Linked DNA regions of Rhinolophus ferrumequinum. The protein of the gene in region 1 purifies or fractionates together with the protein of each later gene. This does not show direct contact. Links are inferred from orthologs where the notes say so. Each region holds a gene or a part of one and is shown on either strand. Other genes may lie near its edges.

The links.
Region 2: the proteins of SRC (region 1) and PTPRA purify together in Homo sapiens (co-immunoprecipitation; 4 studies listed by BioGRID and IntAct, with this or other methods). This does not show direct contact. The link is inferred for Rhinolophus ferrumequinum from reciprocal best matches to the Homo sapiens genes SRC and PTPRA.
Region 3: the proteins of SRC (region 1) and ARRB1 purify together in Homo sapiens (affinity purification with western blotting; 3 studies listed by BioGRID and IntAct, with this or other methods). This does not show direct contact. The link is inferred for Rhinolophus ferrumequinum from reciprocal best matches to the Homo sapiens genes SRC and ARRB1.
Region 4: the proteins of SRC (region 1) and CDCP1 purify together in Homo sapiens (co-immunoprecipitation; 4 studies listed by BioGRID and IntAct, with this or other methods). This does not show direct contact. The link is inferred for Rhinolophus ferrumequinum from reciprocal best matches to the Homo sapiens genes SRC and CDCP1.

The regions. Positions count from the first base shown.
Region 1 is NC_046306.1:18,599,368-18,606,999, forward strand, and holds the start of SRC (proto-oncogene tyrosine-protein kinase Src), read right to left. Parts: upstream 3,005-7,632; 5' UTR 2,821-3,004; intron 1-2,820. UniProt on the Homo sapiens protein: Non-receptor protein tyrosine kinase which is activated following engagement of many different classes of cellular receptors including immune response receptors, integrins and other adhesion receptors, receptor protein tyrosine kinases, G protein-coupled receptors as well as cytokine receptors.
Region 2 is NC_046306.1:25,041,484-25,049,109, reverse strand, and holds the start of PTPRA (receptor-type tyrosine-protein phosphatase alpha), read right to left. Parts: upstream 3,010-7,626; 5' UTR 2,775-3,009; intron 1-2,774. UniProt on the Homo sapiens protein: Tyrosine protein phosphatase which is involved in integrin-mediated focal adhesion formation.
Region 3 is NC_046294.1:50,017,912-50,025,471, forward strand, and holds the start of ARRB1 (beta-arrestin-1), read right to left. Parts: upstream 3,009-7,560; 5' UTR 2,825-3,008; coding exon 2,769-2,824; intron 1-2,768. UniProt on the Homo sapiens protein: Functions in regulating agonist-mediated G-protein coupled receptor (GPCR) signaling by mediating both receptor desensitization and resensitization processes.
Region 4 is NC_046300.1:9,845,534-9,852,771, reverse strand, and holds the start of CDCP1 (CUB domain-containing protein 1), read right to left. Parts: upstream 3,013-7,238; 5' UTR 2,875-3,012; coding exon 2,793-2,874; intron 1-2,792. UniProt on the Homo sapiens protein: May be involved in cell adhesion and cell matrix association. May play a role in the regulation of anchorage versus migration or proliferation versus differentiation via its phosphorylation.

The DNA.
Region 1 (7,632 bases):
CCACAAAGCTCACACGGCCCCACATGGTCAAGCCCTACTGCTAGTACCCCTCGTTTCACCTCTCACCCAATCCTCCTAATTCTCTGTGCTCCAGACTCACAGGCTTTCCCTTTGTTTCTCCACAAAAGCATACACTCCCCCACCTCAGGGCCTTTGCACATGTAGTTCCCTCTGCCTGGCAAGCCCTTCCCCTAGCTCCATGCCTGGCCATCTCCTACTCGCTTCCTTTAAGATTCCTCTGTATCCCACACCTTTCTTTGAGCCCTTATCACATCTATGATGATATATTCATTTATTTGACAATTTGTTTGCTATTTGGCTCACCCTCTAGACTCAAATTTCTGGGAGGCCAGGGACCTGTTCACAATTCGCCAGCAAGGGCCTACTCAGGCTGACCACTCCCCACAACCCCAGGGACCCTGGGAAGTGTCTGAGCAGAAGAGAAGAAAGAGCACCCTATACCCTTCTTTGTTAAGTGAACTGCTGCTGCCCTCAGCACCACCTCCTGGAAGCTTCCCGATGCCTCCCTCCAACTGCTAACCCCATCACCACACTGCTCAGCCTGAGTCCAAAGCTCCTAGCACATACATAGTAGGTGCCCAATACGGGGTCATGAATGCTTTATTGAGGCGGGTTTGGGAAAACGGGGTCAAGTGAGGACCACGGGGCGGAGTCTGTCAGCAGGCCTCTGAGCCATCTCCTCCCTGGCTCCTGGGGTTTGGGAAAGCCAGACAACCACCCCCCCAACCCCACCCCAGGTCACAATCAGGGAAGAAGCAAAAGCAGGAACTGGTTGTGAACTAGGGATAATTCATGCTCCAAGAACAGAGTAGAGGACAGGAGAGAGCTGGGGGGCCTTCCTGGGAGAGGTGGGCCTTAAGCTAAGCCTTCAAGGACAAGAGCAGATAAGCAGCTCCTAGAGGAAAAGGCACTCTGGGCAGGGACACCTTCAGGAGCAAAGACCCAGGGACCACGCAGGAGGGCCTGGGCAGGCGGTCAGCTGAGAGAGGTGACACACTATAAATCATTGCCCTGGGTGGAAAAATCACATCACTAAGGAACACCACATCACCAAAAAGGCCTCGTGGCTTCCACGCATTCACTCATCAGTGTAGTCTTTTCCGACACCGCGGTATGCCTGGTCCCATACTGGGAAACCCCTGCCCCCACAACACTGGAGGGCTGCAAGGGCAACCGGAGTGGAGTCTCTGAGGTCTAGGTGGTTTTCATTCCAGCTTCCAACTCTGTGGCCTTGGTCAAGTCACTTGCCCTCGCTACACCTCAGTTTCTCCATCAACCAAATGAGGATAAGCAAGAGTCTCTCCCTCACAGGAGATGCTCTGTAGACGTTAGCAGCTATCATTCTCGTTGGCCCATTTTATACTTAAAACTGAGGCCAGAACGAGCAGTGAGTTGCCTAAGGTCACACAGCTGCCGGGTGGCAGGATTGCACTGGAGCTGTTTCTTTTTCAAGGAGTTATGAAGCAGCTTTTCTGACACCAATTCATCCTCTTCTGGAGATAAGCCCCACTGGGGCCAGCAACCTCACCTCCCACCCAGTTTAGACAATTTATCCAGTGAAGTACTCACTTATTAAGCACCTACAACAAGCCAAGCCCCTACATGCAGAAACACATAGATTCTTCCCCTGAGGATTCTCATTCCACATATGGGGACTCAGAGGATAGTCCCTTGGCCCAGGTCACCCAGTGAGATGAGAAGCCAATGTGTCTTGTCTCCCCAGTCAGGAGGTTGAGAAGAGGGTCAGCCACAGGACCAGCATGGCCCATTCGTAAAACCAAGGCTGGTCTCAGCTCACGGTGGCTGAGCCTGGACTCACCCCAGGTCACTCAGGGACGACTGCCCCAACTGTACAGAGTCCCTGAAGCTCAGGAAGCCTCACCCAGGCACACACACGCTCTGTCACGCGCAAGTTGGCCTGAAGGCCCCAGACACTGAACTGAGGCTCACTCCTTTTGTTCACCCCCATCCTTCCACCAGCCCAGCAATTCCAGCTAGGCCCACCTGCCACTGATAAAGACCCCCAGCTCAGAGAGGGCAGGCAGTTGTCTGAGGACACACAGCAGGGCAAGTGGTAGCCCTGTTGAGACTCAAACCCACCCCAACACCAGCCCAGGCAGGCAGATGGACCAAGCCTGGTGGCGAAAACCCAAAACTTTTGCCAACTTCTGAGCAGGCAGGCTGCTGGGCCTGACCAGGGGGGAGCCTGGGGGCTGTGGACGGACAGGAGGGAGCAAGCATAGTCTGGCCCAGTCCGTTCTAGCCCGGTGGCACCAGGCCCTACCCAAAGCCACACGAGGACAGATAAGTCCTGGGGCCAGGCTGGATGTTCTGGGCCCGGTGCTCCCAGGCCCACCCTGTCGGACCCCTTTCCACCTCCCCTCCCAGGCCGGGGGCTCCAGGCCGAGCTGCCTCGGGTGGAGGTGGCGCCGACTGGCTCAGATTTCAGATTTGGCCTACACCCGGCCTGGGGGCTCCGGCCCGGCTCACTGATCTCAGGGGGCTCGTAGGAGGAGGATGAGCCGGAGGAGGTCCCCGCGCGGACAGGACCCCGCGTCCCCCACCCCACCCAGCCCCCTCCCCCTTAGCATCACAACAAAAGGCCGCGCTGGGCAAATCCCCGTGCGCCCGCCCACCGCTCCGGGATCGGGGCTCCGCCGGGGGGTGTGGGGGTTGGGGGGTGGACTGGAGTCCCTGTGGCCAGGCGATCCGACGCCAGGGTGGTCCCCGGGCGGGGGATCCCCCACACCGGCCGGGACCTGGGGGCCGCGGAGGGGCGTGGGGGGCGGGGGAGCTCACCTGGGCCGGCGGGCAGGCGGGCGCACCAGCAGACAGACGCACCAGAGGGCAGACCGCAGGACGGCCAGGGGGTCGGGCAGACGGCGGCCAGGCCGCTCCGGCTCCCAGGCCGGAATGGATTCCGGGCCGGGAGAGACAGATCGAGAGAGAAAGGGAGGAGGAGGAGGAGGAGGAGGCGGCGACCAGGGGAGGGGAAGAGGAGGGAGGGAGAGCGCGAGCAGGGAGGAGGGGCCCGGCAAGCCGCCGGGAGGAGGAGGAAGGAGGAAGCGCGCGGGGACAGATTCCCCGCCGGTGACTCTGGAGATACCCATGCGCGACCCCACGGGTCCAGATGAGGCAGAGGGTTGGGGAGTGGAGGCCCCGGACACAGGAGCCCCGCCCCCACCCCGCCCCGTGAGGACGCCCCACCCTGGAAGACCCCATCCACCCTCATGCCAAAATGCCCTTCCTAACTACCCCCAACCTACCCACCCTATCTACCCTAAATCCACCTCTCCTATAAGTATGAGTTATAATAATAATAATAATATCAGCACTAATGGAGCGCTCACTCCTTGCAAGGCGCCATGCTAAGTGGATGGGGTAGACTTTAGGCTCCACTCCTAGCAACCAGCCAGGCTGGGGGATGATGATTTCCATTTTACAGATGAGGAAACTGAGACACAGAGAAGGGGGTCACCTACAAGAATCTTATCTTCGGACTCTGGTCCTGACCTGTTTCCCAAAGTGGGGCCTGGGGCCTGAGGGACAGTGTGAGGAGGAGAACACTTATTTTAATAGATACGTGTTCATTTCAATGTGCTTTTTAAAAAGTAACTAAGGCAGCCCATCGAGTTCTGGATATTCTTACTGAGTAGGGGGCTAAAGCGGGTTTTTACCGACAATTGCCCTTTTAAGTAAATAAAGAGGCAAAGTACATCCGGATGCTGGGGACAGGGAATATAGCAGAGAAAGCAGACATTGAGAAAATGCTGGTTTAGCCACGAAGCCTGCCCCCACCACAATCTGACCCCACCTTCCTCCCACCACCTCCTGGCCCAGGCTCCAGAGCTGCCCTATTAGAGCACCCCAAACCTTGGCTCTTCACCTGTCGTCCTGGAATCATGACCCCGGGGAAGATGGGCCCGAAGCCAGCCTTAAATACTACCACCTGCCTCCACTTACCTTCTCTGAAAGTTCCCCCATTTCACCCCTGGGAAACTAAGGGCCAGCCAGGTTAAAAGGCACCTGGCCTAGACTTCTCCTGAGAGAAGCTGCACGGGGAAGCCTAGAATATGGGAGGCAAAGTCCTCAGAGAACACAATAGCATCCAAGAGACCAGCAAGGCCTTGAGCCAGACTGATCTGGGTTCAAATCTAGGCTAGTTGCCCACCTATTGCACCTTATCCAAGTCACAGGAATGCACATGGTCCCAGAGGACTCCTAGGGAGGTTAAAACTGACAAGGGTGAGGATTGACTAAGGTTGTGCCCACCAAATGGTAGGGTGGTAAAACCAAGACTTGAGGAGATGGGGCTCCAAGTCAGCAGGGGAGCCGGCCCCAGAAACCATCCCGGGCGGGTGAAACGGTGGCACGGGTTTGCAAGGCTGGCTTACAGATTAACCACAGCTTCCCAGGATTCTGTTCGGGCTCCTGGCTGGAGGAGCAGGTTTCTCAGCCCTCATTCACTCCTCAGACGTGTCTGAAGGTCTTTCCTGGCCACACTGGGCTAGGAGTGGGATATTCAACCAGTGGTGTGACGGAGCTGGCTCTTGCCATTTGCAAGAGCAAATTGTGTTCATGTCTTTTCAACTCCAAGATCAATGACGTCACCTTGGTAAGTTGATATCAGTCACCGTGGAAGCATGTACATCTTGGAAATCAGCAAACACTGCAAATTAAGGCTTTTTTTTTCCCTTCCAGAGAGCTGGTCGTTAAATATTTACTAGCACATCACTAGATTCATCTCCAGGAGTTCAACTGAAAGTCTTGGGCTCCTATAGCGGGGATGACAAAGGGCTTAAAAGCACACTTTGGACCTACAGATCTGTGTTTAAATCCCAACTCTGCCACTTCTTGGATATGTGACCTTAAGCATGCCATTTCTCTAAGCCTCAGTATGCCAGCCTACAAAATGGGCTACAGATAGTGCTTCTCTCAGAAGACTCGTGTGAGGATGAAATGAGGTGCTGTAAGCTCGGTATGCCTGAGCCCATGTTATCATTCACTCCCCTCCATACTCTCTTGGAGCAGCGGGGGCCACTTCCACAAGTCTTGGTTCTATAAGCACAGAGGCAGCCCTCCACCTGGAGCCACCACTGGCTCCAAGGGCTTGGCTCAGTGGCTGAGATTCTCAGGAGACACTTCAGGAGGATGTGGCCAACACAATGGTTTTATTATTGAGCCTTGGAAATATTCATTATTTTTAATCCTCCCTCTGGGCCTTTGCTCAGGCTGTAACCCCTGCCAGGAATGCTCGCCCCATATCTCTAGCTTCCCAACATCAAGTTCCTGAGTAAATATCACCTCCTTCAGGACATGCTTGTCGACAAACCCCATCAATTTGGGGTGTGTCTGCCCCCACCCTAAGGGCAGGGACTACGGCCTGGCCTGTGCCCAGCATAGAGCAGACACTGCCCAGTTGGCTGGGGAGAACATACTGACTAGGGAGTCACATACAAGAGTTCAAGTTCCAACGCTTTCATTCATTGACTGTGTGACCCTTCCCTCTCTGAGCCTCAGTTTACTCATCAGTGAAATGGGACAATGACCCCACCAACTCCCAGGATCATGCAAATGCAAGAGTTGCTGGCCTGGCCTAGTGGATAAGTGACTCTTTGTGCATTATTTTGCTTAAAACCTTGTTAGTAAAACAGCAACTCATTGCTTAATACCTACAAATCATTCATCATCATTAATGGACAGCAAATATTTATTGACTACAATGGTATACACAGCCCTGGGCCAAGCCTGGAACACCAGAAAGGGCAATTTCCCAAACCAAAGCACCCAGCAGAAGACGGATATTCATGTCAACATTGCTTGCAATGGTGAGCACCTGTTGAACACTGTCATCAGTCTCTAGAAACCTCTTCCCTCCTTCCCACCACCTGGGTCAAAGCAGGATGGAAAGTGTGGAGTGAGGCCTGGGTTCACACAAGTGGCAGCAGACCCTTCGGTAAGAGCTTTCCCATGACATGGGATCAGGGGCGCTGCCTGCATCTCACGCAGGGCCCTAGTGGCTCTGGTTTGATGGGGGCCTATTTGCCTCACCCACCCAAAGCCCAGCTCACCCTCAGATCAGTGACCAGGAAGCTGGACCCAACACTGGCACTCAGCAGGAAATTCCAGACCAGCCTTGTCATTCCCCAAATGGTTTGCTATGAGTTGTCTATTCAAAGCCACCAGGCTCAGGCCTAAAGGATGGGGTGAAAGAATGTGCAGGCTCTAGCTTGAGGAGTGAGCTTGCCACCTCCCATAGCCCTGCACTTTACAGTTTATACAGAGATGTCCAGTTTGTCAAGTGCACCAGCCGATCTGGCCCTTGATAGCCAATTAGGCCTCCCTTGCAGGCCCTGGTCCCCTTCCCTCCTCTATCAAGCCTGCCTCCCTGCTTTCACGCCATCACAGCAGCTCATTACGTCCTGAGGCCTCTGTACTTGCTGGTCCCTCTGCCTGGAATTCTCCCCACCCTCTAGCCTCTGACTAAGGCTTACACTTCCTTCCTCTGGTCAGTCAATATTTACTGAGTATCTACTGTGTGCTAGCATCTGTGCTAGGTGCTAGGGATACAGCAGCGAACAAGCCAGGTCTGGTCTCTGCCTGGACTTGCTCACAGCCTGGGGGAGCAGGGAAGCATAACCAGTGCACTAGGCACAGTGGCTGGGCAAGCGTGGGGGTTGAGGGGCCCAAACAACGGGCCCCTAACACAGTTTGTGTGTTGGAGTGCAGGGCTGGTGAAGAAAGGAGGCTGTTTGTGGAGAGGGTAGAAGCCTGAAGACATGGCTTCTGGCGACAATGGGACAAAGGTGTTCCAGGCAGAGGGAACGGCATGAGCAAATGCACGATGGGAAGGGTGGCAAGGGTGTGCCCTGAAGATCCTTAAATGCTGTAGGCAGTGGGGAGCCATGGAGGGTTATGAGCAGAGAAGGGCCTGGGGAGATGTGCTGTCACTGAGTTTCAGGAGGGAGATACAGGAGGAGGGAGGTGCAGTCTGGACGCCTCTACACTGATGGCAGCCACAGCTGAGGACCCTATGTTGGATGTGTATGTGAGCACATACCTGGGTTCCAGGGAACGAGGCCAAACTGGACCAAAGGCCTAAATGCAAGACAGTAGAGAAGTGGCCCTCGTCCCATGAGAGTCAGAAGGAGCCCAGGGCAGGTAAGCATGTTCTCCCTCAGAAATCAGCCACCAGAGGGGTGGCCAGCCACTAGCAGGTTCCTCCAGTGTCCGCCCACCCTCCAGGGAAGGGATGGAGACAGTGGGCACCTGCACAGGTGGAGCCTAAGTGATAACGTACAGGTGACAGCATTAACGACTGAGTGCAGCTGCGTGAAATCAAAACCCTCAGAGCCTCACCTTCTGCGGCTATAGGACCAATTCACAGATGGGAAGCCTGAGGCTCAAACACTTCTCTACCCACCCCAGATTCTGGAGACAAAACAGAGATGTCACAGGCAGAAAAGACCTGTCCATGTGAAAATAGGAGAGACCCCTGGCCTCACCAGGCTTGTGTGAAGGCCGAGTACAGGGAAACTCAGCCATTCGTCACATCACTTCCCTCAGGCCACAGTAGAGACCCAGAACGGGACACTCCCCCACCCCAGCCCG
Region 2 (7,626 bases), about 6.4 Mb from region 1:
CTACGAGTGTTTGTCCTAATGTGGAATGATTTCCTAAATTTGTAAAGTAAAAAGGAGCAAGGTGTGACTGGTGTGCATCATGGGGGAAGTATGGATAGGTAGACACGTGTTTATAAAGGAACAGTGTCTATGTAAGGCACAGAAACTGGAAATTTCAGCCATATCTGGGGAGGTCAGGGTAAGAGAGAGACTTGTTTTCCTCTATATGTCCTCTTGTACTGCTGGAATTTTTTCTTATATATTTATTATCTTTTCTTGAAACTGAGCAGCATTCTCTCTAGGCCTCCCTCTGGGTCTAAGAGGCTATGATTTTGCCTCTGTACGTCTCCCGAATTAAAGGGGCAACAGCATCTGGCACCACACTGCTCTGAATGACCTTTCCAAAGCCCAGTTAACCCAAGTCCCTGACCTCCTTTAAAATCCTCCAGTGGCTTTCTACTACCCAAACTCTAACACAGCACATACAGCCCATCAAGCTCTCCCTAATCTCATTTCCCACCCTTCTTCCATCTACCCAGTCCTACTATGTTTAACTTCTCCCTGCTCCCCAAGGACAGTGGGTTCCTTCCGCCTCCAATCCTACTTGTGCTGCTCCCTCCCTCTTTCCTGTATTACTATCTATCACACACAAACTCCTATGCACTCTTCATGACCCAAAGTCCCTCTCCCAAGAAAGCTTTCTCGGACCACCTAGGGAAGAAATGTTCTCTATACACCCGGCAGATGCTGTGGAACTAGACTGCCAAGATTCAAATCCTGACTATTCCCTCATCTGCCTATTGTATGGCCTCAGTTTCCACCCTTGTAGAGTAGGAAGAAGCCTGGACATAACTGTTGAAAGGATTAAATAATTCACGTAAAACATTTATTACACATCCTGTCACAAGGCAAATAAAATAGCTAGTATTACACTTTCATACTAACTGTGATGTATGTACAAGTAATTGTATCCACCTGTCCTGCATTAGACTGTAAGCTCCTTCAAGGTAAAGATTTAACTTCCTCACTTTTATTTTGTATCACAAGCGCTTCCCCTAGCAGTAGAAGGAGCATGGACGTACTTTATTCAGAGAGTTGGCTTTTTTTGGTTCTGAATTTCACCCATATGGTAAATAAGTAGCTAAAAGGTACCCAGTGAACAGCCACCTGGATCCCACGATGCCTGAGAAAACACATATCAGCCAGGTCACTCACTTCAAGTAGGCAGAGGTGAAAAGTCACCGTGGAACTTTTGGTCTTTTAGAGACAGTCAAGCAGATTGGAGGCCAGCGGGATAAAAGACCTGCCAGTTCCTGTCTGCTGACTACTTATTGGGGCTGGATGGAATGGAAATGGGGAATCAGAGTTACTAAAAGTCCTAGGCATGCACTCCAAGAAAGCCTTGAGAAAACAGGAAAGATTCTCCTGGGAAGTGGGAACCTGGAAGTAAACAGAGTCAAGACATAAGGGGGAAGAGATGGGATATGACCTACAAGACAATTGGGAGAAAGAATCCTCTTAGTATGGGAGATAAAAAGGTACAAAAACACAGCTCCCGATCTCAGGAAGCTTCCGTAGTGAGAAAGGCTTTGAAGGAAAAGGTGGAGCTGGGCAGGTAAAGGTGGGGAGGAAAGAGGATCACACAAGCAAAAGCATCCAAACATATGAAGAGGCAGACAAGCAGCTGGGAATGGCTAGGGAGGTGGATAAGGTGAAGGAGAATTGAAGGAGTCAGCTAAAAGCAAGAGAGTAAATTGAGGCAAGACTGTCAAAACCTTGTATGACTTGATAAGACATTTAGAGATTCATTCATCCCATGGGAAAAAGAGGGAGGGAGTTTTTAAGTAAACAAGTGACAGCATCAGATTTGTGTTTTTAAAGGAGTGGCCAGGCAGGAAGATGTTCGCCCATCTTCCATCGTCAATCCTCTCCCCGCCCACCATCTTCTGGTTCTAGGGCTGCCTTCACAGCAAGCAGGTGGCAAGTGAAGAGATCTTCCCGGAGATGGGACTCGTTCTAGAACAGGAATCCCTACCCTGGGCAAAGGCTCCTGAAGGCATTCACCCAGCCTAGGGAGGTGTGGAACATTCTTTTACTGTCTTACAAACATCATCACTCACTTTAAAAAAAAAAAAAAAAAAAAAAACACAAAAAACCCTCAACACTGGGCTCACCTCTGCTATTAATGTTTTTATCTTCAGGAGATACAACTGGGAACTAATTTTTCAAAACCCGATATTCTTTATTTACCAAAAGTAAAAAGGGAGGGGATCTGCATTCCCAACTGGCTCATTTCGAATTTGGGGCAGCTCTGAGCTCCTAGTTCCCTTCTTCAGCAGCCTCAACAGTTGGGAGTGGGCGGAAAAAAGAGCGGCCTGGGTAAAGGGCAAGGGGGGCTTCAAGGAAAAGAAAACTTGACCACTTCAACAGCAAATTTTCTCAGGCCAGGAGTTTTCTTTTCCTCTCTCTTTCCATTTAGTGGACCTGAGCAAATTCTGTTCTCACTGTTCCAAGTTTCTTCTTTCAGAATGAACTACGGCAGCGCCCTGGCCTGGCCTCAGGAGGACGCACGCAAAGTTCCTGGGCAGTCGACAGGGGTCGGCGCCCTGTCCCGCACGTTTCCGGGGACCCCCTTTCCGAACAGTGCAAGGATGTGGGAGCCGGGTAGAGACGCCCGAAGGATTCTACCCGGAAAAGAGGGATTGGGGCTCCCGCCAGGGACCCCTCTCACCCGCGCCTAGGAACCGCCCCCCCTTTCAAAGCCCCTCCGGGCGGCGGCGGCCGTGAACACTCACCGAGTCCGGCGCTGGGCGGGACCGCTGGGGACGAGGACGGCGGCTCCGCCTCGGTTCCGCGGCGGCGTCTCGGCCCGCCACACGCCCTCAGGGCCGCCGCCCGGCCCGCGGCTGGGAGCCCCGCGGCGGCGGCGGCGGCCTCGCCTCCATGGCGAGGAGAAGCGGCTGAGGGGCGACTGGGCAGGCGGCGGTGATGGCGGCAGCGGCCCGGGGTCCGAGCTGGCTCTTGCGCGCGCGTCTCTGTCAGCGCCGCACTCGCCGCAGCCTCGCTCCCGAGCCGGCCTGTGCTGTAAGGCGCCTCTTCATTGGCCGTTCAGAGACGGACGCTGATTGGCCTATACCGGAAGGGCGTCTCCCGGCCCTCTCGGGCTCCGCCCTTGCACGCCTCCAAGCGTTCGCTAGCTGGCCAGAGGCTCAGAACAGGGTTTGAGACCCTGTTCTGGGGAGATGCCCCACCCGCAGCAGCCGGGTCCTCGGGGAAGCGGGACCCCAGGAGCACCGGCCGCCCGCGCACGTACGGCTTCCGCCTCTCTACAGTCCCAGCCCCCTGGACTTGAGCCTTCTTCCCAGTTTACAGATGCGGAAACTGAGGCCAAATACCAGTTACATCAATGTCCACCGACCATGGCAGCCTGGAATCCAAAAGCCGTCTTTCCATTCCTCTCTTCAAACATGTTCCATTCGGATTTTTCTTTTCTTGCTAATTGCTGCAAGGTATTTAAAGGACGAGGGCTCTCACTGGGAAGAGAGAGGAACCTGCAAAGCCCTTAGAACCGGCCTGGCACCGTGGGTTTCGTCTTGCATCAAGTTAGCCCACTTCATCCACACCCGAGCCCCAGGGAAATCTCCCCCGCTTTCCAGATGCGCGAACCGGGGCCTGGCTCATAACAGAGCTGGGTAGAAAGAAACACAACACATGGGTGTCTGCGGTGGGGGTGTCGTTTTCTATAGGCCTGGCGGGGAAGAGGAGGTTCAAAGCTCAGAGAGGACCCAGAGATGCGTCCCACCACCACCGGGGCTGGAACGGGGTGGGGGAGCACAAACCTCCTCCCTAGAGCTCTCCGCCCCACGTGTGGCTCCCCAAAACCATCTGTCAATATGTCTGGCGGCAGCCGGTTCCCAGGCTACAGAACCTGGGCGTCCGCAGCTGAAGGCGGATTGCACAATTCTGGTGGGAGACGGGTGAGACCCTTTTCTAGTTGTGACCCCACGCGGTGTCCCTCGGACACACCAGGACCCACAGCAGTGTGCAAACGGAGCTTGCGGGGAACCCTTCATCAGAGTCCCGGAGTCTGCGCTTCCCGGAGTGGGTGGTGCAGAGCCTCTTATCCAGGCCCGCAGCCCTCTGAGCCCCCCTCTCCTACCTCCTACCAGGCACAGTTCCACGTTCAGCGCACGCCAGGGGAAGGGTCAGTAGCCAGCGGCAATTCCTCATGGCAGGATGAGTGCGGTGGGGACATTTCAGTGCAAGAGAAGGAGCACACATAAGCTGTCATTTACACGAGATTCATGCCACTACCACCTCCAGTCCCCACCACCGCCTGCAGTTGAGGCACCAGCTTAAAACTCTGTCCCCTGTATTTGTGGAATAAGTGAGTGTATGCTGTCCAGTTGTCAATAGCCTGCAAATTCAGGGTGCAGTGGGCCTCCTTCAAGCCATCCTCTCCCCAGCAGAGAAGTCTCTCCTTGAGTCAGAGATGGGTTTCTCACTCCTCAGCAGGGCTGGCCCACAGGTGTTGTGAAACCGCCAAACCCAAAGCGCCTCTGCCAGATAAACACTCCAGCTCAAAGACTCCCAGACCACAAACCCAGTCTCCTGTTAGATCCCAGGAGCAGCCAATGAGGGCAGGTTCTTCCATATGCCCACCATTCTCACTTCCCAAGAAGTCCAAACTCGGTATATCAGCACACCAATAGAAAAGTGAAAAGCCTGAATTCAAAGTGTGTAGAAACCCTGAGAAACAATGACTGTGAGTATGGGAGGTACCTGGGTAGCTAGGATAGCAGCAGCATCCTAGGACCAAATGCCACCAGCAGTTTACCTTACCTACACCTGACCTACCCTATTATGTCTTGATATGTTTCTTTTGGTTAATTTCTATTTTTACTTACACCCGTCATCCACCAGAACTGTGCAATCCGCCTTACAAAGGGTTTGACATGCTTATATTTTCTAACATACATTAACATAAATAGCTATAGAAAGTGTTCATCCTTGAGATCATCTGAAGGATCTCCAAACAATCTGACCACACTTGGGAAAATCCTGCCATTGGGTGTGGGTGTTAGAGAGCCTAGGTGTTCAAACCTCACCATTGGCTGGCTAGGCGACCAGAGCTGTACTGAGAAGTGCAGGCATGTACATCTTGGCAAGTAACCTTGTCTCAGAAAATGCAATTCCTTCTCTCCATGAGACAGCTGCACTGTGGTCAGAGTATTTGTGGTGTGTGTGCAGGGGTGACAGAATCTCAGACCAAGGAGAGGCAGGGCCTTGGGTGTCCCATCCTGGAGACCTGGGGAAGGAGAATTCAGCTTGGCAACCACATAGTCCGCTTCCTTTGGGAGAGGACAGAGTCCCATCATCAGCTGCTCACCTGTGGAGACCTGCCTGCCTCCTTGTCCTACCTGATGTCTGGGGTGTCTCTAGCTTCCCTGTCATCAGAGGACAAAAGGCTCTCTTTGAAGAGGAGAGAACTGAGAGAGGGAGGGGAGGAGGCAGGCTTCCTGTACCCAACCCACCCAATGGAAGGCTGAAGCCCCGCGCCCAGCCCTGGTTTAGTCCTAGTGCACAGGAGTATACACCTACAGGCAGCCACGCGTTAGCCACCCCACAGGTGCCCCAAATCACAGGGTTCATGAGAAAAGGACTGGACTAGAAGGAGAACTGGAGGATGGGGGTAAAGAACTCCTGTTTGTGTAGATAAGTCACTTCCCCTCTCAGGGTCTCCTTTCCCCATGTAGTAAACGAAATAATGAGTCATTTACTCAGCAAATACTTATTGAGTGCAGACCATGTGCTGGACACAGCAGGGAATAAGACAGAAAAGGTCTCTGCTCTCAGGAATTTATATTCTAGATTGGGGCAATAGACAATAAACAAGTGAACAAGAAAACTTCCTAAATGCTGTAACGAAATAAAAGTAAGGCAATAAGATAGAAAGTTGAAATAAATGACAGCCGAGTGCCTTTCCAAGTCACTGTTCTACTCCCAAGGGTCATTTGCCAATGCTTTGTACCTAAAAGAGACTGCAGCCCCTTTACCCTGAGAAGGTGACTTGTAGGAGCCTTTGCCCTGACTCACTCCAGGGCTGCCATTAATATCCTAAACTAGAAGCGATGTTTCTAAAGTCTCCACCCCAGCTCCAAAATCCTGGCCCCAGGCTCAATCCTAGCCCCAACCGATGGCCAGGACTTGGCCCCACCTATCACTATAGGCCCAGGGCTGCTGTGCAGACCCTCAGGGCAGAAGGCATTTTACACTAATTTTAATTGATCTGTTGAGGATTAAAAAAATAATCCCAGTTGTTTTTTAAAATATCACTATTTATAGGTGTACGCGTTTGTCAAAAACTCAGCAAATGTACACTTAAGATCTGAGCATTACATATAGATTTTGTCTGAAAAGAAAAAATTGCAAATGATAAACTCTAGTTAATGAAATGCATTCTGAAATATTTAGAGGTAATTGTACTAATGACTGCAACTTACTTTGAAATGCATTAAAAATAAGATAGATTAGTAAAACAGACAGAAGCATGATAAAGTAAATATATTTAAATGTTAATGGTAGAATCCAGGTGGTGGGTATACAGGTGTTCACTATAAAATTCTTTCACCTTAGCTGTATCTTTGAAATTTTTCATGATAAAATGTTGGGGGGAAAATCAGTGTTTAACTTTACAAAAAGTACACAAAGCTGCCTTTAATTTTCAAATAACTCTACCCATGAACAATTCCAGTGCTTCTCCATCCACATGCATACCTACTTTTTATGAAGTTGTAATCAACGATGTTTATATAAACATAATCATTGTCACATATTTCTAAACCTTCATGTGTACAGTGTTTAATGTCTGTATATCACATGAGTAAATATGCTGTGTATGACTTTGGGGATGCAGGCTTTTTACAGTGTACTCGTGCATTCTAAAAGCACTGCCCAGGGCCCCCCTTCCAGAGAGGGACTGGGTTGTATGGTACCAACACTTTTTCACTGAGAACTAGGAAAGCTGGAGAAAAACATTTTTAAAAGGCACAGAAGAGCTACTAGGGCAGTGGGGCCACGACCGGGGAGGAAAAACACCCAGAATGATGACGAGCCCAGTATTGGGGATCTCCTTGCCTTTTCCCAGAGGTGTCTGCTGATTCTGAAACCTGATAGGCTGTGCCAGACTGCGATTCCAAAAATTGGCCACATTTCCAGTTCTGCACATTGTTCCAGAGCCTTGCTACACCCCTATCACGAGGTGGAGTCGATTTCCCCTTGAAATTGGGTGGGGTAGGCCTATGTGACCGCCTTGCCAAACAGAATATGGCAGGTGTGACCCTGTGTGACTCCCAAAGCTAGGTTAGGGAAGGCAGTAGAGCTCTGTGTCTCCCTTGGGATGCTGCCCTTGGGACCTGGCAGTCGTGTTGGGAGGTACCGCCGGTTGTAGGTGTTCTGGCTGACATCCCAGCTAAGGTTCCAGTCAACAACCAGCTTCCATTGCAGACTGTGAGTTACCAAGCCTTCAGAGGATTTCAGCCTCCAGCTGTCAAGTTACCTTCCACCTTTGAGTCTTCCAGCTGTTACCCCAGATGTTGTGGAGCAAACCATTCCTGTTTCCTCCTGTCCAAATTCTTGACCCACGTA
Region 3 (7,560 bases), on another chromosome or scaffold:
GGAAAGGCCAGAGTTAGCATATCCCACGCAGGTGAAGGCTGCTGCAGGCCGTCCCTCAGCAGGACGGAGGACAAGAGGCCTGGAGCGATTCTCAGGCACCATCCGAGCCTCGAGAGCATGATCAGATCTCCCCATCTCCTCCGCTACCCTCACCCAAGCCAGCATCACTGCCATGACAGGTCTCCTGGGCTTGGGCCCCTTCAGTCTGTTCTTCAACGGGCATGTGGAGAGTCTTTCAAGATGTAAGTCAGACCGTCCTGCGCACTTGCTCCGGGTCCTCCCAGCTCACACAGGACAAGCCTTGTCTGCGTGTCTGCCATCCTTCAGCTCCTGGCCTCCCCTCCCACGTTCCTCCCTCACTCTTCCAGCCACGGAACCTCCTTGCTGTGCCCCCACCACACCAGGGTGGCTCCTGCCTCAGGGCCGTTGCTCTAGCAGTGCCCTCCCCTGGGACTCTCTCCCCTCACAGATCGGCTTGCCCAGCTTGATAGGATGGGGCTTCAGCCTGTACCCACCCCCACTCCCACTCCTTCTCACTCTATTTCTCCTTTTTCCACAGCACTCACCATTTCCTAACCTACTACGTCATGGCTGCTTACATCTATGCCTGTCTACTCTGCTGACGTACCAGCTCCATGAGGGCTGGCATCTTTGTCTCTTTTGTCCACTGATATATATGCCAAGTGCCTAGATGGGTGCACCTAGTAGGTGTTCAATAAACGTGTTAATGAATGGCAGGCAGCAAGCACTCCATAAATATTAGTTGAGTGGATGTATGAATGAATGATTGAATATTGGAATTAACTGAGGAACGGAGGCCCAGGAAACAGAGGGGCTGTGCCCGTGGCCACACAGCAGACAGAGCACTGGATGCAGATTTAGGCGGAGGTGAGGTCTCCAGCTCCCGCCAAGCGCTCACCCTTCCACAGCACGCTGCTAGCTCCAGCAGCTCCCCCTGCCCTCTCCCTCCAGTTGGGTCTGGGAGCCTGAGACCCCCTCACCTATCGCCCATCATCAAGCCCCAGAAATGCTCAGAATAATGTTTGGAGGGAGAGAAGAAAAGTGAAAGATAGAGACAGAGACCCAGGGGAAAGTATTAGAGGAGGGAAGGGAGGAGGGAGAGGGCAGGAGAGGGACATGCTCCGGGAGGTGTGAAAATAAAAGATGGAATGAGAGATGAAAAAAACAAATGAACAAAAAACGATAGGGAGAAACAGTCCCAAGCAGAGAGAGCTAGAGCAGACAGAGAGATGGAGCCAGCCCACATGTGGCCAAGCAGGATCACACAGCCCAAATCCTTCCCCAGGAGCGAGAGGTCCAGCAAGGCGGGGTGAGTTTACATTGTCACTGTGACAGTCGCTCCTCTAAGGAGCTGGTGGTGGCTCTGTACTGCCTCCAATAGCATATCCCCCCACACACACCCCTTACTTCTGAGGCCCAAGGAACCGTGGATGCGTCTGAGCTTGGCTTGCAAAGAAGAGCCTGGTACGTCCCTCCCCCACCTCCCCTAGGAGTTCTGAGCTTTTCTCCTCCTCATAAATATTTATCAGATGTGGAATGTGAAGATGCCATAGTCAGCTGGGGTATAATAATTGCTAAAGTGAGAAAAAATACAGATCACACGGTTCGACCAGCAGCTCCCAAGTTGGGCTGGACCTGCAAAGGAGACCAGAGATCCACCTCTGGGCCACAGGCAGAGGGTGGGAGCCAGGCTGGGAGGACTGAAAATCAGGAAGGGAGGAAGGGCGGTAAGAAAGAGCTAGCGTTTGTTGAGTGCCTCATTATTTCTCCTAACAGCACTGCGACGTAGGCATTATAACGCCCATTTTATAGATCATGAACTAGTGGTTCAGAGAAATGCAGTAGTTTGCCCAGGAACACACAGCAAGCAAGGGGCTAAGTCAGGATTCCGAGCTAATTCTGCCCGGCTTCCTCCAGAGGATGGCTACTTTATATCCAACCCTGCTGCTTTCCTAAAGCAGGTGTTTCCAACATCAGGAGCAGAAAATCGGGAAAACGAGGGCAGGGGAGGGGAGAGGAAGAAATGAAAGAGCCATTATTCATTAAGGGGTGAGAAGGAGATTAAGGGTGACCAGAGGCAGGAAGCATGACCCGTGGGGGGAATGTCCTGTGGCTAACTCAATCAGCCCCCTGGGGGGCCACCTCCTCAGGAAACTGACACACGGACGGCTTCCTCAGCAACAACAGCAGCTGCCATGACCTGAGAGTGTGTTATGCCCTAGTCCTGTCTCTAAGTATTTTTCCCAGAACACTGTTGATCTTTCAACAATCCCACTTGAGAGATGAGGAAATTGAGGCTCAGACAAGCGAACGGTGGCTGCCCGTCTCCACGCTGTCCTTTCCACTCTAGCGCACAGCCAAGCCCCCCCTGAAGCAACTTCACCAGCTTCCTGACCCCAACGCTGTCAGAAAAAAAGGCCCCTCTGGGGGTGTTTCCAGATCACTGGGACGCCCACGTGCGCAGCACCACACAGATGGCTTCTGCCTGCCCACTCTGAAGAGCTAGGATAAACACGCGAGACTGTGATCAAAGCTAATCTTCCAGATTGTGGGACGGCTGGGTCTGTTTCACCCCCAAGTTCCATCTATGCCCCCCAAGCCTGATTCTCAGAGTCAAGACCTGTTCCCATAAGAGAAATTCTGCTGGTGTTCTAGCTGATTGAGGCTCCCTGGAGACTAGGAACAGAAACCCACCGAGGGCAGCTCAAGAAAAGGAGAAGAGGGTATAAGGAGAAAAGAAATCTCACGGGAAGAACGCGCAGGCAGGATGCACTGGGGCTGGAGTCAGAAACGGGGAAGCCATCAGCCTCTCAGACGGTTGCTCTCTCTCTCCACCTCTCCCTCTGGGGCTGCATATTCTCCCGGCTGCACTGCTCTCTGTGCGGTTGATCCATTGTCTCTGTGGACCAACTCTCTGTGCTTACTCAGGGCTTTTCTGTTCTTCCATCATTTTGGCTTGCATCTGGCTCTCACTCTGACCCTGTTTCTACTCTGCCTCACTCAGCTTCCCACTGTTAACTGCTAAATGGCCCAAATCCAAATTCCCAGGAGAGGAATTTCATTGGTCACCTTTGATCAGGTGTCCCACACCTGGGCCAATCAGCTCTGCCTAGGGTGTGTCATGTGGTCCATGAGGCATGGGCAGAGGAGTCTATAAAGCAGTATTTTTCAAACCAGGGGTCAATCCTTAAATTGATAATGAAATCAACTTAAAGAATTGCCACCAGCCCTTTGCCTTTGTTGTTTTAATGGAATGGAATAGAAGATGTAAGCATGAGATGCAGATAGCAAAGGTATAATAGATATTACTGTCCATTCCCCTTTAGGCTGGGCAAATTTCTCCAGTGCTGTGAAGTTACGCATGCCAATGTGGCTTGCTCTGGCCAATGAAATATGAGTAGAAGTGCCATATGTCACTTCTAGGCAGAAACATTTACCAGCTGGTGCATGGTTCCCCATACCCTTTGTGTTAGTTTTCCATAGAGTCTATAACAAATAACCATGAACTTAGTGGCTTAAAACAATATAAGCTTATCTTACAGTTCTGTAGTTCAGAAATTCAAATTGTACCTGGGTTAAAAATCAAGATGTCAGCAGGGCTACATTCCTTTCCAGAAGCTCTAGGGGCAAATCTGTTTCCTTGACTTTTCCAGCTTCTCAGAGGCTGCCTGCATTCCTTGTTTCATGGCCTCGTCCTCCCTCTTCAGAGCCAGCAGGTTAAGTTCTTATTACACTGCATCACTCTGACCTCTTCTGCCTCCCTCTTCTACTTTTAAAGACCCTTATAAATACATTCGTCCTCCCATTTCCCTATTTTAAAGTGAACTGATTAGCAACCTTAATTCCATCTGCAACTGTAATCCCCCTTTGCCATGTAATAAAACGTCTTCAAAGGTTCCAAGGATTAAGATCTAGACATCTTTGGGGAACCATTCGTCTGCCTACACAACCTCTTTCCTCTGCCACTGAAACCAACAATGATCTGGATGGGGAAGACTCCAGCAACCTAAATTCCAGGGCACTCCTGCTACACGACAGACAAGTATTATAGCATGAGAGAGAAAGAAAGCTCTTGCACTACTAAGACCTGAGGGTTGTTTGTTACTACAGCAGACCAGCTTCTCTCAGCTGATATACAAAGTATTATTTAGTGAAACTTTCACGTTAGGTGTACTGAGTTCCAATGTGAAATGAATTTCATGCTGCAAATGTTTTAACACGTCTAAAACAAACATGCTTTATCAGTGTCTACCGTCTGTTGGATCCTGTTTCCTGATTCCATTCCATCAGGGTGGTGTTGCCAGAAAGGCTGGCAGGTCAGTTCTCCGTGATCGAGAATGTTGTCTTCTCTAGTGATCCCCACTCCCCACCTGCAGTTTGGGGTACCTGTTGATCAACATTGACACTAATATTTTGCTGCTATTCTGTGAGCCACAAGTCCTCCCAGAGTCTATTTGTGCTTGTAGGAAGAAGCCTGCACCAGGAGGGACTCAGAACAAAGCACCTTCTGTGACAGATTACCCAACAACCAAGAGTTTATAATCCCATGTAATACAGCCAAACAGTGGAATATTATGTAGTGAAAGTACGCTTGCATCTTTCGTAACACAAGGAAATGCCTATGATGGAATACTGAGCAAAATAAATCAGCATTCAAAGCAGTACATTGGCATGAGCTCAATTTATACTCAATACATACCAAAAGAAAAAATAATAAGACATAATGTTGTTAAGATGGCAATACTCCTCAAATTGACCTATAGAGTCAATGAAATTTCTACCAAAATTCCTGCTGACGTTTCTGCAGAAATTGACGGGCTGATCCTACAGTTCACATGGAAATGCAAAGGACCCAGAATAGCCAAAACAATCTTGAAAAAATAAAAATACAACAAAGTTGGAGGACTTACACTCCTGAATTCACAACTTAATACAAAGCTATCATAATAGTAACTGTGTAATACTGACATAAAGATAGACATATAGATCAATGGAACAAATTTGAGAGTCCAGAAATAAACCCATACATTTATGGTCAATTGATTTTTGACAAAGGAGCCAAGACAAGTCAATGGGGAAAAAAAGTCTTTTCAACAAATGATGCTGGGACAACTGGATACCCAGAGGCAAAAAAAAAAAAAAAAATTGGAAGTTAAACCCCCTACTTTACACTGTATACAAAAATTAATTCAAAATGGATCAAAGACCTAAATATAAGAGGTACAACTATAAAACTCTTAGAAGGAAACATGACCTTGGATTAAGCAATGGTTTCTTAGATATGACACCAAAAGCACAGGCAACTAAAGTGAAAAAATAGATAAAATTAATTTCATCAAAATTAAAAACTTTTGAGCTCCAAAGGTCACTGTCAAGAAAGTGAAAAGACAATCCACAGAATGGAGAAAATGTTTTCAAATCATGTTATCTGATAAGGTTCTAGTATCCAGGATATATAAAGACCCTATTATAATTCATTAATAAACAAATAACCCAGTTAGAAACCCCAGTTAGAAACTGGGAAATAACCCAGTAAGAAATGGACAATGGATTTGAATAGACATTTCTCCAAAGAAGATATACAAGTGGCCAATAAGCACATGAAATGATGTTCAACATCATTAGTCATTGGGAAAATGCAAATCAAAGCCACAGTGTGAGACTTCATACCCACTAGGATAGCTATAACCCAAAAAAGACAAAAGCAAGTATTGTCAAGGCTGTGGAGAAACTAGAACCCTCATATACTGCTGGTAGTAATATAAGGCGACGCACTCACTTTGGAAAAAAGTTAAACATGGAGTTAACAATGACCTAGCAATTCCATTCCTAGGAATATACCCAAGAGAACTGAAAACAGATGTCTGCATAAAAATGTGTACATAAATGTTCAGAGCAGCATTATTCATAATAGTAATGAAGGGTAAAAAACAAACAAATAAACAAAAAACCCCAAATGTTCATCAATTGATGAATGTATTTTTCTAAATGTGGTACACACCTACAATGGAATATTATTCAGCTCCAAAAAGAGGTAAAATATGGATGCATGCTACAACATGGATGACACTTGATAACATTTCGCTAAGTTAAAGAAGCCAGACAAAAAGACCATATATTGTTTGATTCCATTTGTAGGAAATGTCCAGAATAGGCAAATCTATAGAAACAGAAAGCAGATTAGTGGTTGCCCGGGGCTGTGGAAGTGGGAAATAATAAATGTTTACTGATGGCAGGAGTTTGTGTTTGGGGTGACAAAAATGTTCTGAAATTAGATAGTGATGATAGCTATAAGACCTTGTGAATGTACTAAAAACCACGAAATTTTACATTAAAACTGTGAATATTATGGTATGTAAATTATACCTCAATTTTAAAGAATACTAAAAACAAACCCCAAAAAATGAATGAAAGGAAAGTAATAGGGGTTGAATGAGACTCCCTCCACCTACCCACCCACTTCTTTATGTCCCTTATTTTCCATAAGCATAAATTACTTTATAAAAATGTGAGGGCTTCCCTAGCAAGATATGTCTCAAGTCTTGGTGAAAGGAGAGTCTGGAAAAAACATTGTAAGTAAAGTAGAGAAATATGGATCCTAGACGGAATCCTTTGATGTCAGAGTCTCTGCTTCTGCAATTTACAATCCAGAGTCCACATCCCTATGATTCCTTAGATCCCTCCCCAGGCCTGCTGTGTCAGCTGTTAGAACGCCTGTGCTATGTCTTCTGCTCAGCTATCTCCTTCTCCAGGAAGCCTTCCTTGACTCCCCCTATGTCTGGGTTAGATGCTCCCCAACACCCACGCCCAATGTGTCCCCCTTCACAGCATTTCCCACACTTTATAACGGTCTGTTTACTCATCCTCTGCTTCACTTAAATAACTTCATCGAGAATAGAAATCTTATTTGTGTTATTGACACTGGATCCCTGGGGCATAGCATAGTGCCTGGAGCACAGTATGTGTTCAATAAATAAATACAGGTTGAATGTTTTTGGATGACTGCTCTAAGAGAGAATTAGTCTAGAGTGAGGATGGATGAAGTTTAAAAAGATGATGGCTGGTGATGATCCTTTTCTCTAGGTGAGTCCTTTTCTCTAGGACTCCAGGGATCTCTCCTGCCTATACTTCTCTTTGGCTGTCAGGATCAGCGGGTATTAGGCTTAGAAAAGGCTTCCTAGGGGCAGCTCCCAGCTACCATCAGGCTGAGTCAGGAACACCACTGTACACCCCAAACGGGCCTCTGCTTTGTTTTAACTAATGGCTCTCCACTTATCATTAACTGGTCCACATTCACACAGCCCCCACCAGTGCCTGGCTCTGGGGGCACTGAAATGAAGAATTCTTTTTTCTGCTGACAAAGGACCATGGCATGGCCAAGTTAGAGAAACCCGCCAGGTCTGACATCCTCCACGCATTAAGTTCTCCCCGGAAGCAAGGTGCACTTCGCGCATGGTTAAGATATGTTATTCCATCAAATATTCCCTTTTTTTTTTTTCAGAGAAGAAACCTAAGACTCAGCGATCCTAAATAACTTAC
Region 4 (7,238 bases), on another chromosome or scaffold:
CATAGAGGCTAGTGAAACAATGATGACAGCCTGGAAGAGTGTAGAAAACAGGCATTCACACTGTTGGCCCGAACATACACCAGAACAACAGGACAAGCTCTCCACAGGGCAGCATGGAAATATGTAAACGCCCTAACATTTTCTCTGTTCTTCATCCCAGCAATTCTACTTCCAGAATTTTAGCTGGACAAAGCAGTTGAGAATGCGCAGAACAATACAACCGCAAGAACACTTTCTCAGATATATCAAAATGGGACAGTCCAGCTTATACTATTTTATAACCTTGACACAAAGGCAACATTATTTCAAGTCGTTATAAAACCTGTGCTACATACTTTTTAATGTCTTTTCACTGAACAGACCTATCGAAATTGATATAAGCAGTCTCTCCTATTGTTGGACATGTTCTATTTTTAATAGGAAAAATGGAAAGCAACCTAATTGTCCAACAACAGGGGACTGGAATAAGGGCATGGTCCCATTTTTCGTTTTACACACACACACTGAGACTGCACCAAAATGACCATGATGGTTTGCTCACAGATGATTTTTCCCCCTTTTGATTATACTCATATTTATTGCCAATTTTTCTACAACAACTATATATTAATATTACTTAAAATATTTTAATTACTGTTTTCAACTTCCTTCCCCCACACTGAAGCCTGGGAGAACCCCTAGAAAGGTTGTGTGTGTGTGTGGGGGGGCAAGGTACAGTCATCAAAGACGAAAGGGCAGCATCTGAGGTGAACCCTCTGACGCCAAGTCATGCAAACCTGTGGGGGTGTGAGGGGGGTGGGACTCATCAGTCCTGCCAGTTACACACTCCAGACAATAGCCAGCAGCTCCTCAATATGTGAAGAATGACGAACACACATTCAGGGTGAGCAAACACTTCATTTGATGTCTGCTCACATTTCTGGCACAAAGCAATGGCAGCAAGAGTGCGGTCACTGACCCAAACTTTGGTATCTGAGTGGTTCTTGGAAAGCCACCAAGTTGAGATTTTAATAAGGCTATGATTCCAACGTAACCAGTCCTTCACTCTTGCAAGTGGGGGAGCTGGTAAGAATAGCAAACTCACACAAATGCACCACACCAAGACACAAACTTTCCTTTACTCTTCAGCTCTGCCGTGAGAACAACTTCATTTTCACTCTGGCTTTCTCCACCCTTTGAGGACTGACTCCAGTAACTTCTCAAAGGCCCCCACGGGGTCCAACCCCAAGACCTCAACAAAGCAGAGACACTAGGCGAATGCTCCAATCACAAAGCCATATCCGTCAGTTAAGTCTGGCAATGTAGCCTCACAGGGCCGGTTCCTGAGACCCCAGACAGGTGTTAAGAATGTGAAATGGGAAACTTTTTAGGCTTCCTTGTATTTATACACCGAACCATGAGATATGACTCCCACAGTCAAGAAATTCCTGGAAGGGACTCCACTGGAGCTACTGGAGACCAAATGGCTGTCTTTCCAGGCCACAGGGAGACATCAGATGGTAACAGAAGCCAGTGCAGGACAGGCTATCCTTGTCACTAGTAATGCTTTGATTACACATTTTTCTCACACACATTTTCACTCATTAAGTTACTCTTTATTCTTAAACTTACATTTTTCTTCAAAGGAAATCTTGAAAACTCAGTCTTAAATTACAGTAAATATGCACGCAATATTTTAAAGGCCATTTTAAAATGTTCTATGTACTTGGCAGCAGTATGTCACCTGATGCTGTAGGAGAAAAAACCAGGAAGCTTTCCTGTCTCGGATTTATGATGGCAGTTACCGAAACGCCTAAGTTCACCTCACCCGCTCAGTTTTATTCCTTAATTTAATGTACCCTAATTTACCTACCTGTAAAATACAAACGCCCCCTTAGATTCAGCAAAGGGTAATAATCGAAGACCCAAATCGCTTCCTGGGTAGCTCTTTACAAAACACAAAACCTGTGCTAGTCTCAGGAAAGGCCTCAAGTTCTGACAAGAAACCAGGTTATTTACTGTCTTAATACTTCCCGCACCCACGGGGCACCTCCTCGCGCCCCCCCACTCGGAAACACAGACAGCTGGGATGCGGTGGTCCCTCCCCCAACCGGAACAACTCGAAATTCACACCTATCTCTGGGACGCCCGGCTCTACCGACCCCCTTGTGCGTCCAAGTTCACTACACCAGGTGCGAGAGGCGGGGGCCTGGGGGGCCTCGGCGCTTTCATCTTCGATTCGTGCTCCTGAACTTCAGGGGCGCGAGAATGGGGGGTGCGGACAGGAGAAGAGGTGATGCGATGGGATACTGAGACGCAAACTTTCCTGGCACCTTCTCTCTGGCCCAGGCGAGGAGGTAGAGGGTGGACCAGAGAGCAAAGTTCCCCCCCACGCCCAGCCTGCCCCGGAGCCCACAGTCATCCAGGTAAAGATCCCGAGCGCGCGGCGCGCCACTTCGGGCCCCCGGGGACTCGGCTTCCTCGCGCTCTTCTTTTCTCCTTCTGGGTCGGCGTCGGGCTCCTCCTCTCGACTGCGGGTCTCCTGGCTCGGGGACATTCCCACGTGCCCCGGCCTGCGCCCAGGTCGAGGTCGCTCGGAATCCAGGAGGGCACCGCCATCGGGCCCGACGCGGCGCGCCCCGAGGCCGGGAAGTACCGGGAACCCCGCGCCATCTGTGCATCCCGACGGGGCTGTCCCCGCTCCAACTCTGCACCCTCCTCGCCCGGCGCACCCTGGTCCCCTCCCCGCCGGACGCAGGCTAGCCGGCCATTCGGCCACGCAGCGCCACGCGCGCTCGCAGACCCGCACTCACCCGCTCGGCGTGGCAGGAGCGCAGCGCCCCGCAACAGGACCCCCAGCAGTGCGAGTGTCACCCCGCAGTTCAGGCCGCCCATGGCTCCGCGGATCCTCGGCCTTGGCGGGGAAAGCGACTGTGGCCGGCGGTTCGGAGCGGCGACCGTGGGCGCCCGAGCCTGGAACCGGCTGCGCGGCGCCCCGCCCCGACTCGCTCACCTGCGTGCGGGCGGGTAGTCCTGGGCACCGCCCTGCGCCAGGGGAGCTGGAGCTGGCGGGACCTTTCCCCTCCCCTCTTTCCTCCTCCCCTTCCTGCTTCAGCACCCGCCTCTCCCGCCCGGGGTGCTGGGACTCGTCCCCACCTTCCCGGGCTTCCACCTCCCTCTAAAGGCTGAGAGTGATCACTCAGGTCTTTTTGTCTGAAGGCCTGAAGGTCGTGCTTGGCAGAAGCCAGTCTGCCTTCCCTTCGCTGTCCAGAAGAAGAAGGCCAAGGTGCTCCCCATTTTGCAGGGAATTTTTGTAGATCACCCAAGCTCTGGCTTCCTCCTCTGTTCTCTTTCCTCTGCTACCTGACCTGGGTGGAGGCTCACTGGACTTTAAAGCCGGTGCCATAGCTGCTCTTTGCAGGACTACGAGCCGGCAGCCTACTCCAGCCACTCCATCGGCAGCATTTCTAATGCTCACAGCAACTCTTCCACATTATGGATGAAACAGACTTGACAAGTTACGCAACCTGTCCCGGATCCCCAGGCCAGTGAGTAATTTAAAGGCAGGATTTGACAAGACAGGAAGGGTTTTCCACAAATGGAATGGCTTTGTTAAATTTATGAAGGACAAACGAATGAGTGAGTGAATAAATGCACGAGTTTGGAAAGGGCCAAGAGAAGAAACCTAAACAGGTCCACAAGGGGCCCTTTCTTGAGTTGTGAGTGGAGTATTCCGTGTGGTATTGACAGTGGGCATTTAAGCCAGTAGTTGGGCCATAAAAAAAATCAATGGCACAAGCCTCCTTTCCCTCCTCCCACCTGCAGGTGTACCTCCTGTCTCTGGCTTCTGTAGGCTACACACCAAGTCCAGGGTCGCAGGGCCACAGGAAGAGGCAGTGGTTGGTTGGGGACTCTCAGCTAGCAGACCGTTATTCTTCCAAAATGACTCCATGGACTCCCTGGGGCTACCTGTGCCTGGGGGCAGCCAGAAACTGGGCCAGAGTCACCAGAACAACCTGGGAGGACGGAGACAGGAACCAGAGCACGTGCAAGAGCATCAGTCTATAATCCACCCCCAACTTCTGTTTAATTCTTGGGGAAACTGAGCCTCTTCAGGCTATCCCTACTCTCATTGAACAAGGGTGATACATCATTTCTTAGGAACTTCACCTCCTTCCTTCTCCGTGTCTTCAATGCTGAGAATAAAGCACACTGCTCGCAGGAAGTCCACAGTCCATGAGGGAGGCAGAGATGTCCAGACTGTCTGGGACATGACCCTACTCAGCCTCGACCTATGGAAGGGACTGGATTGTGAACTGAGGGGACCTCAGAGTGTATCTCTTAGTCCACTTTCCTCATCAGGCAGATAGATGAGGGAACTCCGTCCTAGAGAGAAGGAAAAGGATGAGAAAAGTGGGGAGGCTCGCCCACAGAATCAAAGGAAAATTCATCAAGAGAAAGAAATCTTGAATAAATCTAACATCCTTTAAAAATGTTTATGCTGAAGGAGAGTGAAAGCAGATTTTTTTTTTCTAATTATAAAGCAGGCATCTATACCCCAGCATCTTTTCCTAGCATTCATAACACCATTGTTTCCCACACACAATAATAACAATAATCATAATAAAAATAATGATATAGAGTGACAGTGTTGAATTGGAAATATTAGAAATATTGCTTGACAACTTTAAACCTAGTAAACAAGTTATTTCATTTCTCCAAAGTTTACTTAACTGGCCTCCCTGGGATAGTGAAATTAATTTTCTGTAAATGACTCAAGAGTCAATAATTCTCAGATGTGAAGGATTAGTGATGGTCCCAGACAATGGCAGCAAAGAGACAGAGATAAAAAAAAAAAAAGTAGGGAGGCATCTCAGTATCCTTTGCATGACAACCTAACTATTATACATAGTTGAAGTCAAGATGTCTTGGTTCCTGGAGTGGAGTGTGAGCAAGCATTGCCAAGGTATGGAAATGGTTTGTCTTTACAAATATGGCTGAATGGAAGGAGTCAATTTTAAAAGATTATTTCTGAACTAGAAAAAATTCAGGCAGCTACAGTCTGTTGCTAGGGGGGAAAAAAGACAGATTAAAGGGTGAGGTTTTTTTGCTGTTTTTTGTTTTGTCTAATATAAGTAACATGTTATTGTAATAAACAATGAAGGAATATATTGGGACACTTCAGGCTAAAGCGAGTTGAAAGAGCTAATTACTCAGTTTTCTCAAGTTGCTCAAGGGGGCTTCCCTTAGCTTGATGGTGATGTTATACTCTTACAGGGTGAGTTTTGAAACAGACTGTGCCATGTGATTTTGACCCCTCCAGAAACCCTACAAAAGCTACAAAACAAGGCTTAAAAAAAAAAGAAAGAAAAGGCATAAGCCTACAAAGATGGGGAGAAAAGAGAGAAACAACAGCAAAATCTTCTTGGAAGCTGGAAAGCAGATGGATAAATGATAATTGACTTAGGAGCCTGGAGACAGCAGAACCCTAAGTCAGTAGTGGGGGAAATAGAGAAATAACATGATTTATACAGTGGGATTCTTTAAAAAAAAAACAAAACTAAACTACACTAACAAAAACAATAACAACAATAACAAAAAACAACTCAGGAACTAGCAGCACAAAGTATTCTGGGTTAAGAGGGTGAGGGAGGGGCTAAAACAAAGAAGCCAGGGAGAAAGCTATCTGAGAAGTATGACTGTTAGATTCCTGGAAACTGTCCTCCATTCCCTGTGGCTGGGCAACTGCTCCCTCCTTCATCCCAGCAGAAGTTTCAAGTGTTGTTTTCTATAGAGTTAAAACTGAGGGATTTGGGCTGAGGAGTGCCAGGCGTAGCTGAAAACCTAGGAAACATTTTGAAAAATAGGTAGAGAAAGGGAGCATATGCATTCTAAATGCTAAGGTTCCCAGACCCCTGGCGCCTACTTGCCTCCCAGAATGCACCAGAGAGGGCTTTACCATCCATACTGGAGATGAAAAGAGTATTCTGCATTATCTGACCAGCCCAAGAGGCAAGACTTAAAAAATACACACACTAATCCCCATCATCAGGCTAACTAGATGCCTACCATAAAGCTCCCAGTTGATAAGCCCCACCAATTTTTAATCTCTTACTTTAAAACATGACCGGACAATCAGGATTTCAAGACATCTAAGCAAAGAGTCTAACATGATAGAGACAAAATCAACCAATTAACCAAACAGAGAAAAGCAACAAGGAAAGAGACTGTATAAGGAAAAGAAATCAAACCAAAACAATCATTAACTTCCTTAGATAGCCGACAACACTGCATCTGTGAAGCAAGAAAAGTATGTTATAAAAAATGAATATTCAGGGAACCACAAAAGAGTTTTTGGGAAAATTTTAAAAATCGTAGTAGATATTTAAAAGAAGAAGAAGAGTTGGAATATCTCCCAAATATATAAAAATAGGAGCGAAAAGTTAAGGAAATTGGAGGCTCAGTTCAGGAGATCCAACATCTGAATAATGGGTTTCCTAGAAAGAGAGAGCAGAAGAAACAGAAGACATTCTCAATGATAGAATTCAAGAATTTCCCCAGGCCTGAATAACATCAGTTTCCACATTTAAAGACTCATGGAATGTCAGCACGATGGATAAAATAGGTTTACATCAAGGCACATCATAGTGAAATTTCAGAAAGCTATGAACAAAGAAAGGATTCTGTAAACTTCCAGAGGCAAGAAATGGGTCTCATGCAAAGGAACAAAAATCAAAATGGCTTTGGATTTCTCAACAGCAACAGTGGAAGCTGGAAGACAATGAAGCAATACCTTCAAAATTCTGAAGGAAAATAACTTCCAACTTAGAATTCTATACCCATCCAATCTATCAATTAAGTGAGAAGGCAGAAAAGGGGCACTTTTAGACATCCAACACCTAAAATGAAAAAAAAAAAAAACACAGAAAAACCCCAAACAACAAACTCTCACACACTTTTTCTTAGGCAAATACTGAAGTATGTGTTTCATTGAAACAAGAAATGCATGAAACAGAGAGGAGTGGATACAGGTTTGTGGGGATAAACTTAATCACCTTAAGAAAAAGAATACAGAGTTACAAATAGAAATGTGAAAAAATGGTTATTTATTTACAATGAGGAAAGAAATCACAATAGATTATAAATTTGAAAAAAAAAAAGTCACAAATCCAGAAAAATACCATTATATCCTTACTATTAACTTGCTGGTACTAGAACCACATAAGTTCATTTCTTCAGATCATTTTGCCTCGTTGATG